Solanum lycopersicum: one gene and its partners. The main gene of each other region encodes a partner of the protein of the gene in region 3 in a complex. Links are inferred from orthologs where the notes say so. Each region holds a gene or a part of one and is shown on either strand. Other genes may lie near its edges.

What was found. The genes of interacting proteins can lie anywhere in the genome.
Region 1: the proteins of protein TOO MANY MOUTHS (region 3) and protein EPIDERMAL PATTERNING FACTOR 2 are in contact, whole or in part, in a crystal structure (PDB 5XKJ), measured with the Arabidopsis thaliana proteins. The link is inferred for Solanum lycopersicum from reciprocal best matches to the Arabidopsis thaliana genes TMM and EPF2. Residues at the interface, in NP_178125.1 of Arabidopsis thaliana: Trp73, Ile77, Pro78, Arg82, Gly83, Arg84, Trp85, His86, Gly87, Ile88, Glu89, Met91, Val101, Asp110, Asp111, Thr112, Ala113, Lys135; in NP_564442.1 of Arabidopsis thaliana: Asp75, Tyr78, Ala79, Gly81, Ile104, Arg106, Arg112, Tyr113, Tyr114, His115, Val116, Pro117, Ser118, Arg119.
Region 2: the proteins of protein TOO MANY MOUTHS (region 3) and protein EPIDERMAL PATTERNING FACTOR 1 are in contact, whole or in part, in a crystal structure (PDB 5XJO), measured with the Arabidopsis thaliana proteins. The link is inferred for Solanum lycopersicum from reciprocal best matches to the Arabidopsis thaliana genes TMM and EPF1. Residues at the interface, in NP_178125.1 of Arabidopsis thaliana: Trp73, Ile77, Pro78, Arg82, Gly83, Arg84, Trp85, His86, Tyr98, Asp111, Thr112, Ala113; in NP_179684.1 of Arabidopsis thaliana: Arg56, Asp59, His62, Ala63, Gly65, Ser66, Lys93, Pro102, Val103, Pro104.

What each region holds. Positions count from the first base shown.
Region 1 is NC_090803.1:61,264,885-61,269,329, forward strand, and holds the start of protein EPIDERMAL PATTERNING FACTOR 2, read right to left. Parts: upstream 2,842-4,445; coding exon 2,751-2,841; intron 1-2,750. Other genes in the region: transcription termination factor MTERF5, chloroplastic-like, read right to left, coding at 2,988-4,145. UniProt on the Arabidopsis thaliana protein: Controls stomatal patterning. Regulates the number of cells that enter, and remain in, the stomatal lineage by inhibiting protodermal cells from adopting the meristemoid mother cell (MMC) fate in a non-cell-autonomous manner.
Region 2 is NC_090811.1:4,045,757-4,049,316, reverse strand, and holds protein EPIDERMAL PATTERNING FACTOR 1, read right to left. Parts: upstream 1,951-3,560; 5' UTR 1,838-1,950; coding exon 1,732-1,837; intron 929-1,731; coding exon 723-928; 3' UTR 542-722; downstream 1-541. UniProt on the Arabidopsis thaliana protein: Controls stomatal patterning. Regulates asymmetric cell division during guard cell differentiation. Mediates stomatal development inhibition. Not cleaved by the protease CRSP (AC Q9LNU1).
Region 3 is NC_090811.1:60,150,810-60,154,526, reverse strand, and holds protein TOO MANY MOUTHS, read left to right. Parts: upstream 1-1,368; 5' UTR 1,369-1,575; coding exon 1,576-3,015; 3' UTR 3,016-3,120; downstream 3,121-3,717. UniProt on the Arabidopsis thaliana protein: Promotes cell fate progression in stomatal development. In leaves, needed to correctly orient spacing divisions, to limit the number of asymmetric divisions in neighbor cells, and to promote the asymmetric (amplifying) divisions of meristemoids.

The DNA.
Region 1 (4,445 bases), on a different chromosome or scaffold from region 3:
CCCGATGATGGGGTCTCCAATATCAAAATTGTTCATGCACCATATGTTAAGCAATGAATGGACTCTTTATAAGGTTTGGACTGTCTTTCTCCCTTAGATCTATCTTTTAGGGTGTGAATTAAGTCTAAAACCTAATTTAACTACTCTGTATTTATATTCACAATTTTTATGTTTCGTCAAAGTTAGTATAAGGCAAAAGACACAAATAGAAGATCATTGAAGAAAGGGTCTGGTAAAACGTGAAGGTCTGAACTTTGGAATAAATGAAGTTTGAGCATTTATAAATTTTCTTTTTCATGCATGCCTTTAATTAATGTATATTTTCCCTCCTCCCATGTTTCATGTCTTATTAATTTACTGCACCTGCAAGAATAAATCTATACCAAGTACAATTTTTCAATTTTGAATCTCTTTGAGATTATATTACAAGAGAGAGAAAAAAATACCAAACAAGTCGAGTCGAGTAACAATTAATTTGACAAAATTAAGCTCATAATATTATAAAAAGAAGTAGCTTAAAGTAGTAATGTAAAACAAGAAATGTATGTAGAGAGACAAGTTTTTTTTTTTCTTTCTAAGTATAAATATGTGTTAATGAAGTATCTATAACGTAATTCTCAATACCAACCATCATAAAATATCCAATATGCATGGAACATGATAGATAAAAAATTTTAATTATCACTATAAGAAATAATTAGAATGTTTTCTTTGTACATACTCTCTCCGTTCCTATTTATATGTCATCATTTTAGATTTCTCGTCTCTTAAAATGTTGAGTGAAATTACTATTGTACTCTCATTTAGTGTTATCTTGAAGTCAAGTTTTCAAACGAAGGAGTAATTTACTTTAATTAACTAATTTGACCAATGAAAATAGATTAATTATTTAAGTTTTCTATATATGGGCAAATGTATAGCTTCAAGGCTAATAACTTTCAAAGGGTAAAATAAGAACAATATTATCATTATAATTTTGTGAAATGATAAATATTAAAAACTATCTATTTTTAATAAGGACGACAAATAAAAAAGAACAAAGAAAATAACACATAAGCAATGAGATTTCCCAAATAATATTTGGAAAAAAATGGCAAATAATGTTTGTCCATACAATTTGCCATTATTTGGCAAATATTTTTGGCAAATATCCCAAATTCTCAAATACAAGTTTTTTTCTAATATTTGGGCCAAATCTCATTATTTTGGATCTTTTGAAAATTAAATTCTTACCTCAAACTTTTATCTTTTACAAAAACACCCTCTATAGTAGTTGCTTGCGTTGTATTACATAATCTTTTACGTGGAAAACCAAAATAGTGATGAAATATTTACTGAATATTAAATAATGATTTGATTGTTGATGAAAATGATGAAAAATTGGCTCAAGGTAACAAAATCACGTGTTTTGTATACTTTACGATGTATGGAATGATGTTTGTTGCACTCACTCTAAATTACAGCATTGCTCTAGTGTCATGGACACTATTGTTATTGTTGTAACGAACATCCAATTGACTTGTAATACAAACCTATAGTTAGTTTTGATAGTTTTTAAAACTTATGGGTATAAATCATATTTTTCTAAAAAGGTGAAATATAATTTCCAAATCCTATGCCAAACACATGGTAAAATTTCACCAAATTTTCTCAAATAATATTTGTCAAAAATATTTGAAAATCTATGGCCAAACGCTAGCTAAAGTAGAAAAACAGGTTTACACTTTACACCATTATTCCAAACTTGTTTCAAAGTAGAAAAACGGGTCATCAAATAATTTTTTCGTGGAGCATAAATTTATATTTTCATTTTAGCTTTTAATATTTCAAGAGTTACGTAAGTGTATTCTTAAAAAACTTACGCACTACTAAAAATAAGATCGATTGCTGAGGCAAAAAAAAAAGTAAAAATCAACCTATTTAAAATGTAAATTGTGCAATAAAGGCTAGAAATTTTTTTGGACAAAGTGTGATTGACTAATGGTAAGAAACTGATTTGATATGTACTGATTATTACTTAAGATCCGACAATTTAAAACAGATAGATATAATTCATAAATTTCTAATCCTAATTCCAACTCTGCCAGCAATGAATTTTTTTGTCTAAATTAGCCATTATTATTATTAATATATATATATATATATATATATATATAAACAGTTGAAGTTATGGCAAGCTTACCTAAATACCAACAACAGCATACCTAGTATAATACGCAGACGTTACCCCTACCTAAGCAGGTACTGAGGTTGTTTTGGATAGATCTTCAGCTTGCTCAAACACCATTGTCACGAGAGAGAAAAAACACTATAGTTTCCCTGATTTTGATCTCCATTTCAGACAGATACCTCAAACCATAGAGGTTGTGATTCTCCCAACTCAAATTAAACTTCCCAACTAATTAGCTTCCAAGACTAAATAAGAGTTAAATCGATCATTTCAAGGACTAGAAAGTATGAAAGGAAAAAGAATGTTCAACTTCACATTCTTTATATGACAAAGACTAAAGCTTTAACGTCTAGGATAAGGTACAAGAAAATATTCTTTAGACGTTAATCATTAGTAAAAGGAAGGACCTAACGAACTAACTAACCATCAAGTTCTTACAAATGGATAGACTAGCAAATAACTCAATGCAAAATTTTATAGGATCAAATTCAGAGAGAATAGAAGAACATCAGGACCTTACATCAGATAAACCAATGTTGTCACAGAAGTATTTGACTCACTCATGTCTTATGGAACAAACCTGATTGTAACGGTAACTGCCAAACGGAATTAGTTATCAACAAGATCTGTCGAATCCAATCAGCTTCAAATTGCAAGATTGATTTTTGCATATAGCCTACAGCAGTTCAGACTTCTCGTCAACACTGACTGTGTTTTCAGAATACAAACTGAAAACAGAAAAGCAATACATGTAATGAACTAGAACTGAAAACTGAGAAAGATCTCAGCACCTTTTGGTGTCAAAAATAAACAAAATCTATAAAGGAGCCACAATTTTCTTGAGCTGTTCATACAAATCAGGCATCTGATCCTTGTAGGGCTGCACAAAATAATCTATGAATCTTGTCTCATTTAAGCTCAGAGCATAATAGAGATCCAACTTTCTCCTCTCAACCTTCTTTTCGTCCAAAATATCCAATACTTGCATCCGAGGTACCACCCTTTTTTCCATACTGAAGACCAATATTGCAGGATGAGAAACCAAGTAAGCAGTTCCAATACCAAGTTCCTTCATGAAAAGATTCAGTGCTTTATGAATTCTAACTTCCGAGAGGCCAACACAAAAAGGTAGCTTCCTGAACATCTTGAGTATATCATCATCAGACCATCCAAAACTCCTAAAGATTCCAAATTTCTTTTCCAACTTAGACTTGTTTAATGAGTTTAACACTTGACATCCATAAAGAAAACTAGAGGAATCCCGTGGGACTCGAAAATCGTTCTCCATCCTATGCAACAAACTTTTAATCCTCTCAGGATTTTGAGCAAAATAACTGGGATTTCTAAGCATGAGTTTTTTAATTCTCTCATCAGGAACACCATAGTTTTTCAACAACAATATATTAGTCTCAATAGTATGATGAGCACGAAAAGAAAGCAGCCAAGGAAATCTCCTTAACGCCTTAACTACATTTTCGTTACTACCCAAAACCCTCCTCAGGAGATCAATGGTAGGTCTCAAATGAGTATCTAAACCTCTATCAACAATTTGTGAATCTTTAGCAATTACATCCACCAGGTCCGACCCGGATAATCCCAGATCCATAAGGCACTGAAATTTGGGTTTTAGGGTTTTGGAAACATCACGAAATAGTAATTTGGGAACACTAGAAACCATTGTTTTCATCTGGGTGTTGTCGAATCCAGTTTGTTTCAAGAAATTGATGACTAAATCAGGATTCTTTAAGTTTTTACGTGAAGTTACCTTGGAGGATGTAGATGCAGCTTCTTCATTGGAGAATCCGAGAGAATCAACAAGGTATTTAACCAAGAAATGGGTTGGGGCAGGAGCTGCGGTTGTTGAGTAGAGATACTGATATCTGAAATTGAAGGAGGAAAAGAGGTCTCCAAAGCCATTGCAATGAAATATGGAGCTGTGAGTAAATACAGCTATGGCTTTCGCTCTGATAAGCATTTCTTTTGCAATTTGAAGAGTATACCAAATCAACGGAAGTTTATGTATACTTTACTTTGTAAAAAAAAGAAAAGGAAAAGGTTGATATACCGAACTTTGTTATTTAGAGTTATACAAACGGTTCATATATATTCTGTCGTTATAAAATGATTCACATATATCCTTTATTTAACTGAACTTAAAAAATTAGTTTAAAATTTATTTTTATTATTTTTAATTTTTAAAAAAAATATTTAAGAATATATATGATTCTTCTATCAAAGTTCAGGATATATTTTAATTTTTTTCATACATAAATTA
Region 2 (3,560 bases), about 56 Mb from region 3:
TCTTCACTCTCCCTCTCTTGTTCGCTCGTCTCTCTCGTTTTATATTATCAGAAATGTATAAATTATGTTTCTATTATTATAAAGCGAGAGAAAATTGTATATACACATGCAAATATATATATCTATTCGTTCTATACACTTATAATTACACAATATAAATATTCCCCCACCCAGTTCTTTTTTGTCTTTCTCTCTTTATACAAACACAGATTATACAAAATACAATGTATAATTTATATTTTTATAAAGCGCGAGAGAGAGCGAAATTTGATACATTAAGTTAATCACAAAATATGTCTCTTCCTTTAATTGTTCATGATGTACAAATCAATTGGAACAAACTTTGAGATTTTACGACTTATTAATTAAGTAATTAACTTATTTATGCAACATGTACTTGAGAATACACATATATTGTGGAGAAGCTTTTCCAAGATTTCGTAAGAGAATACTTAATCATATGTTTAAATACTTAATCAGAACTAATGAAATTTACTAACAAATTTAACAGATTATTGATGTATCTTGCGACTAAAAAAAATGAAAGAAGAAACTCTCATTGAGTACATATGAGAAATGATCCTACAAATTAGACCCTACACTAGGGAACTAAAGGATATTAAGAAGTACTATATGTAACATATATGATATTAGTTGGAAAATTGATAACATAACTAACATATAGTTATTTTTTTTTTTAAAAAAAACTAATGATTAATTAATTAAGGTACAGGGTATGATTTGTTATGGCACATACATTTGTAAGCAACAGGACAAGTCTCAGCTTCTTCTAATGATGAACAAACAAAACTAACCATCACTAATCTACAAGGTTTACATGATCCACATGCATGAGAACAATCTGGTAATCTTGATCCTGCTACTTGCAATGTATATGCTCTTTTTGCCATGACCATATGTCTTTCATCTAAAAAAATTAAAAAAAAAAATGAGCATCATTAGCACAAAGTTTATGTGGTAATTAAGAGAAAGCAAGAATATTACGATAACAATAATATATTCAGTGTGATCACATAAATAGAAATCGTGAAGTATGAAAAGGGTAGAGTGTAGGTGGACTTTATTAGTCATTTTTAATTATGGACATAGTAGTTTTATACTAAAATATTTGAAGACCGGTAAATGTATTACTAATAAAGGTTGAATAAAAATCTTAGAAACAAACTCTCTATTCACCTTATAAGATATTTTTCACGTTTCATGTTTTTTATAGTTAAACTATGTGAACTCTGATTAATATTTATGGATGTACTACTATTTTTTTAGTCTTATATTAATATGAGAAAAGTTGTTTAACTTATATCAGTTTGTATGAGAAGAATTGAATTTTAGTTTATGGGGCACCAATTTAATGAAAACAAAGACTTATAATTTGTGATCTTAAACATGTTATAATATTTGTGTGACTATAAAAAAATTTCATTCTAATGTAAAATGAAAGTTTAACATTTGAATTCTTTGCAAGTATAAAAAAATAACATTTTGTTTTCAATAAACTACCAAAGAAAAGTGTGTCATGTAAAATAAAATACATATTTGAATGAAAAAGTAATTATTCATCAATGAAGTTTATAAAATTGTTTGTTGATAAAGAAAACTAAAAAGTTGATTCTTCAAATATTCACAAATATATTACGATTTTCTGAAATAATAACTATCAAGTTCAGTAATCGAGAAATAAAATGGTTGGAAGAAAGAAGTTGATCATACATGAGTTAATCTTGGGAATTTGCCTTGCATTCATGACAATTGGAAGGAAAACAAGAAAAACAATGATCATAATTGCAATATACTTGAAACTCCTCATTGTATACATCCTTAATTTGTTTTTGTTTTTTCTTCTTCTTCTTAAGCTCTTTGATCACCTAATTTATTGTTTGATATTATAATGTTTTGTTGAAGGAAAAAAGAAAGAAATGAATGGATATTTAAAAGAGGTGAGAATTGAATCAAGTCACAGGCAAGAGTGAGAGATGATATAACAATAAGCTAGGTCACATGAAATAGGCACATTTACACTCATAGGGCTTGAGAACCCTGTGAATCACACTTTGACACACTTCCATTTATCAAAAAACTATTTTTAACGGTAATAGCTTACTTGTTGCTAAATATATATTTTCAGCGCCAATTAGAACTCTTTGTAAATGTCTCGAAAAGTCAATAGTGACACTGAATCCAATGAAAATTAACTAATGTCGATAAAATTTTTTACACTCTTTATTAATATATATATTTATTGTTGCCAAAAGGGTACAGTCCAAGAGATATATATTTACTCAATCGGATCACTAATAACATAATTTAGAAGGAAACTTTTTATTATTCGACTAAATTAAATTATAGTAATTGATAGTGTAATGAATTTCTTACATTATGAACGTAATTTAATATGTTATAAGCTTATTAATTCCACTTGATTACCCGGACAATGCTTTTATTAAACAAATATAGTTGTAATTATATTTTAAATGATTTGATCGTACAAATATTATGCGATTAATTCATATCTTTTTAATTAATTCTAAGGGAAAAATGAGAAATATTAATTAATATTATCTTAATTTTATAATTAATTAGACAAAGAGAATATTTCTTAATTTTTTTTTTTGTGAAGTATGGTGATTAATTTATGGTACAAAGATTTACTATGACCAAAAAAAAAATGTTGTTTTAACGTGAAAATTTGAATGGTGAATTGAAGTAGGTTTGTCAATTTTCATGGACCAGCTTTAAATGAAGAAAGCATATATTATAATAAATATTATATTGGTAAAAATTATGGTAACATGATCTCAAAGATGAAAAGTAAATATAGTAAATTTATGAGCTTAGTGTACTCAAATGTGACTGCTATAAATGTTTGTTTTTACTCACACAAAATTAAAGAAAAACTCCAAAATGTGATTTCTATTGCATGTGATGTATTTATTACTTTTATTAAATATTAGAGTATTCTTTTATGATTACTTAAATTGATAAAATGTTCATACCCCATGTGAATATTTTCACATGTTTTAACAAGTTAATTGAATTGCTTTGACACATCAAACTGAGGTTCTATATTATCTATTTAACGATAGTTTGAAGTTATATATATATATATATATATATATATATATATATATATATATATATTCGTTTTATATATGTTGTTCACTTGATTATATATAAATATTTACTTGATGTTTTAGAAAAAAAATATTACTATCTTCTATTCACTTTTAATTGTTTTGAGAGTTCAAATAAGTTAATAAGTTTTAAAAAGTTTGTTTCAGAGTAGTAGATAAATGGTAAATTATTTTAATTTTTCCTCTTGTTTATGATTTTTTTTAAAAAGCATGTAAAAGATATAAATTATACGAATATATTTATTATCTGAATGGATATGATTAAACAAATATGTTTTATATGAGAAGCTACTTACACTTACTAAGTGCACATATAAAATGTATTTCACTATTGTTACTAGCATATATATGATGCATTTTGTATATTGTATGCGTGTGAGTACACTTATTACTTGCGCGAATGTATTT
Region 3 (3,717 bases):
AATTACTCGACATAAACTTAAAATGTCGTAAAATAAAATTTAAATATAAAAAATTGAATAACCAGCATTTGTATGAATGACTTGACAAGGGATTAAGTTCACAAATGGCGTTAAAAAAGAATGGTCTTGATTATTTATTTTTTTAATCATGCTTAACGGATTTAATATAAATAGTCTTCGCTTGAAAAAGATATCCACTAGACAATGTTTGGGGAAGTTGTTGTGGACATAAATTAGTTGTCTCTCGAAAATTTAAGATATTTTAAGACAGTGAACCTGCTCAATCAATTACAAATTCTTTTTTATAAGCAAAAGCTATAATTTATTTATAATATAAGCAACATAAAATCTTCCTAGCCAATTATTTTAAATTAAAAATATTTTCTAAAAAATCTATTAAGCAAAGATCAAAATTTAAGATCAAACACTTTTAGAAACACCAGGCGTTAAGTGTGCATATGGTTAGGTTGGTATGAATTTTTTAAATATTAAATCAAATCATTTGTATGGAATTTTTAAATATATGAACCAAACCAAACCAATAAAATACGAGTTTTTATACTTTGGATTTTTTCGGGTTTTTTGAATCATTCGGGTTTTTTCGGGTTTTCCGCTAAAATATTAATTCAAACATATAATTTATTTTGCATGTCAAATGTTTCTTCAACTCAAACAAAAATACAACTATCTAAGATGTTTCTTAAGAATATAACACAAATAATGATATGATTAATGACACTAAAATATCCAAACATATATATATATAATGAAATCGCGTAAAAAATTACAAATCGACAAGTCATAATGAAAATGATCATAATTTAAAAGTACTAAATCATGTTAAAATAAGTTTAATAAGTATTAGTTACATGGCTAAATATTAAAGGAAATAAAAATTAGATTATGTATTTAAATTATCTAACCAATGTAAAATCAAAGAACAAATATTCTATATTATTGTCATTCTTAGGTTAAATTGTTTTTCTCTTTTGATTATTATTAATTTGATTTTGATTTAAGTTTTAGTATAATTACCAATATCGACTATACCATCCAAAATTCTAAGTTTTAAATTTAAAATAATATATTAAAAGATTAAAAACTATGAAAAAGTATAAAAAAATATTTAAAAATTATATCAAAATAAATAATTTATGTATAAAATAAAATTTTAAAATCATTTTATAATATCGAATTCTTTTTTTTTATATAGTTAAAATTCAATTTTTTATTCAATTTTATACGCACTTACCACACGTCATTTTGAGTTGAGGGTTCGGCCCAAAATCTGATTCTTTAATGGAGCCCAAGCAAGCCTACTTGTATGTGGGCCTAAATTAACTGAGGCTCAAACCCCGTGATAGTAATAAATGTTCATTAACCACATAAACTCATGCATTTATTTCATCTCCTCCTCATACTCGTGAATACATTATTATCCTACTTTAATTTATGCACCCACCCATTTTCATTCACTTGTCACACTCCCCAACCTGGTCATTGTCATAAATATTTGTGTTATAAAACACCCCCTAAAAATACAACCAAGTTTGTCACTTCATTCATATTCCAAAAATGGCCCTTTTTCTCTCAATACAAATACCTCTACTACTACTATCTTTTTTCTTCTTTCCTCTAGGGTTGTCATTCACCGTCATAATGTCGGACTCCGGTGCTCTAGTCGATGCTCCACAAACCGGCTTCTCGATGAATAACAATCGTGCACGAACCGATCCTCGTGAGCAAGAAGCCGTTTACGACATTATGAGGGCTACGGGGAACGATTGGGCCATCGATATCCCTGATGTTTGTCGTGGTCGATGGCATGGTATTGAGTGCATGCCGGATAATGACAATGTGTACCACGTTGTCTCACTTTCCTTCGGTGCATTGTCCGATGACACAGCGTTTCCTACGTGCGACTCGACTCATTCCTTCATTTCACCTTCGGTTAGAAAACTTCCGCACCTTCGGATTTTGTTCTTCTATCGTTGCTTTAGTAACAATCCTCAGCCCATTCCAGGATTTTTAGCCCAATTACGGCCCACTTTGCAAACACTAGTGTTAAGGGAAAATGGGTTCACAGGGCCCATTCCTAATGAACTGGGTAACCTAACCCGTTTGAGAGTTCTGGATCTTCACAAAAACAATCTTGATGGTTCAATACCCATCTCTCTGGGTCGGATCACCGGTTTGAGGTCATTAGATTTGAGTGACAACAAACTAACCGGTTCTATTCCGAGTTTAACTTTCCCTCAGTTGAATATCTTGGACCTCAACCAAAATCACCTTACGAGTTCAATTCCATCCACACTCATGAGCTGTCATTCGCTTATAAAGCTTGACCTAAGCCGTAATCGCCTCTCTGGTTCAATACCTGACTCGATCCACCACTTAAACAATCTCATCCTTTTGGATTTAAGCTACAATAGCCTAACAAGCCCATTCCCAATGTCGCTCAAGAAATTGAATTCTCTACAGACCTTAGTCCTGAATGGAAATCCAATGGACTCAGCTACTCTACCGGACAACACATTCGATGGTTTCAACAGCTTAATGATTTTAGGGTTATCAAACATGAATCTTCAAGGGCCAATGCCAAATTCACTAGGCCGATTACCTAAGCTACGAGTCCTCCATCTCGACGGGAACAAGTTAAATAGCTCGATCCCATCGAGTTTTGGTAATTTAAGAAACATAAGTGAGCTTAGGCTAAATAATAACATGTTGAGTGGTCCTATTCCATTTAAAAGAGACATGGTTTGGAGAATGAGAAGGAAAATGAAGCTTTCAAATAATGATGGGCTTTGTTACAACAAAGAAAATGGGCTTGGAGATGATTTAGAGACATTGTTGGATTCAGGGATCGGACATTGTGGGGACTCTAAAACAGTGCCAATAAAAACAGTACAACACATTTCAACACTCAACAGATCAAATAGCAACAAATTATTATCGTCTCTTGGATGCTTCCTTTGGTCAGCTTTAGTTTTTGTTCTAGTTTGTCTGTTGTGAGTAGTTGTTTACAGATTTTGGTACAGTGCTTTTTTTTCCCTTTCTGTTTTTAAATGTAACTAAGCATATATAATACATAAATGTACTTTTTAATTTGATTATAAACTTTAATTTTGGATGTGCACAAGACACAAATAGACATTTTAACTTGTATAGAGTTGAACAAGTACACACATGAGTCACAATACACATAGGACACCACATAAGATTCATGTACTATCTATTTCTTCAACTTTATTTAAATTAGTGTATACTTGTGTATATCTAAAGTAAGAGGATATAAATGTAAGTTGAAGTTAAGTTAAAGAATATATTTATATTTTATGTGTAGTATTAAATAAGAGTATGACTACTTTAATTTTCAGATTTTTTGAGCAACAACTTGAATGACAATTGTAAATATTTGTTCCAAGTTTTGAATTTAATTTTAACGACGTTACTAATGAAGTTGACACTACAGAACTAGTTGGAATTAAGATTTTTTTTTAATTACAAAGAGAATGTAACCTCTCATTTCCAATTATTTTCTAGGTTAATCCATCCCAAATGATGGAGTCAGTACTCCATTTTTTCTTATATTCTTTTATTATTACAATTTAGAAGTAGTTCTCGTTTGGATTGGCTTAAAAAAGAGTAGCTTTTGAGTTAAAAATAAAAAATAAGGGAAGATTTATTTTTGGTTTCTGACTTATTTTAAGTTAT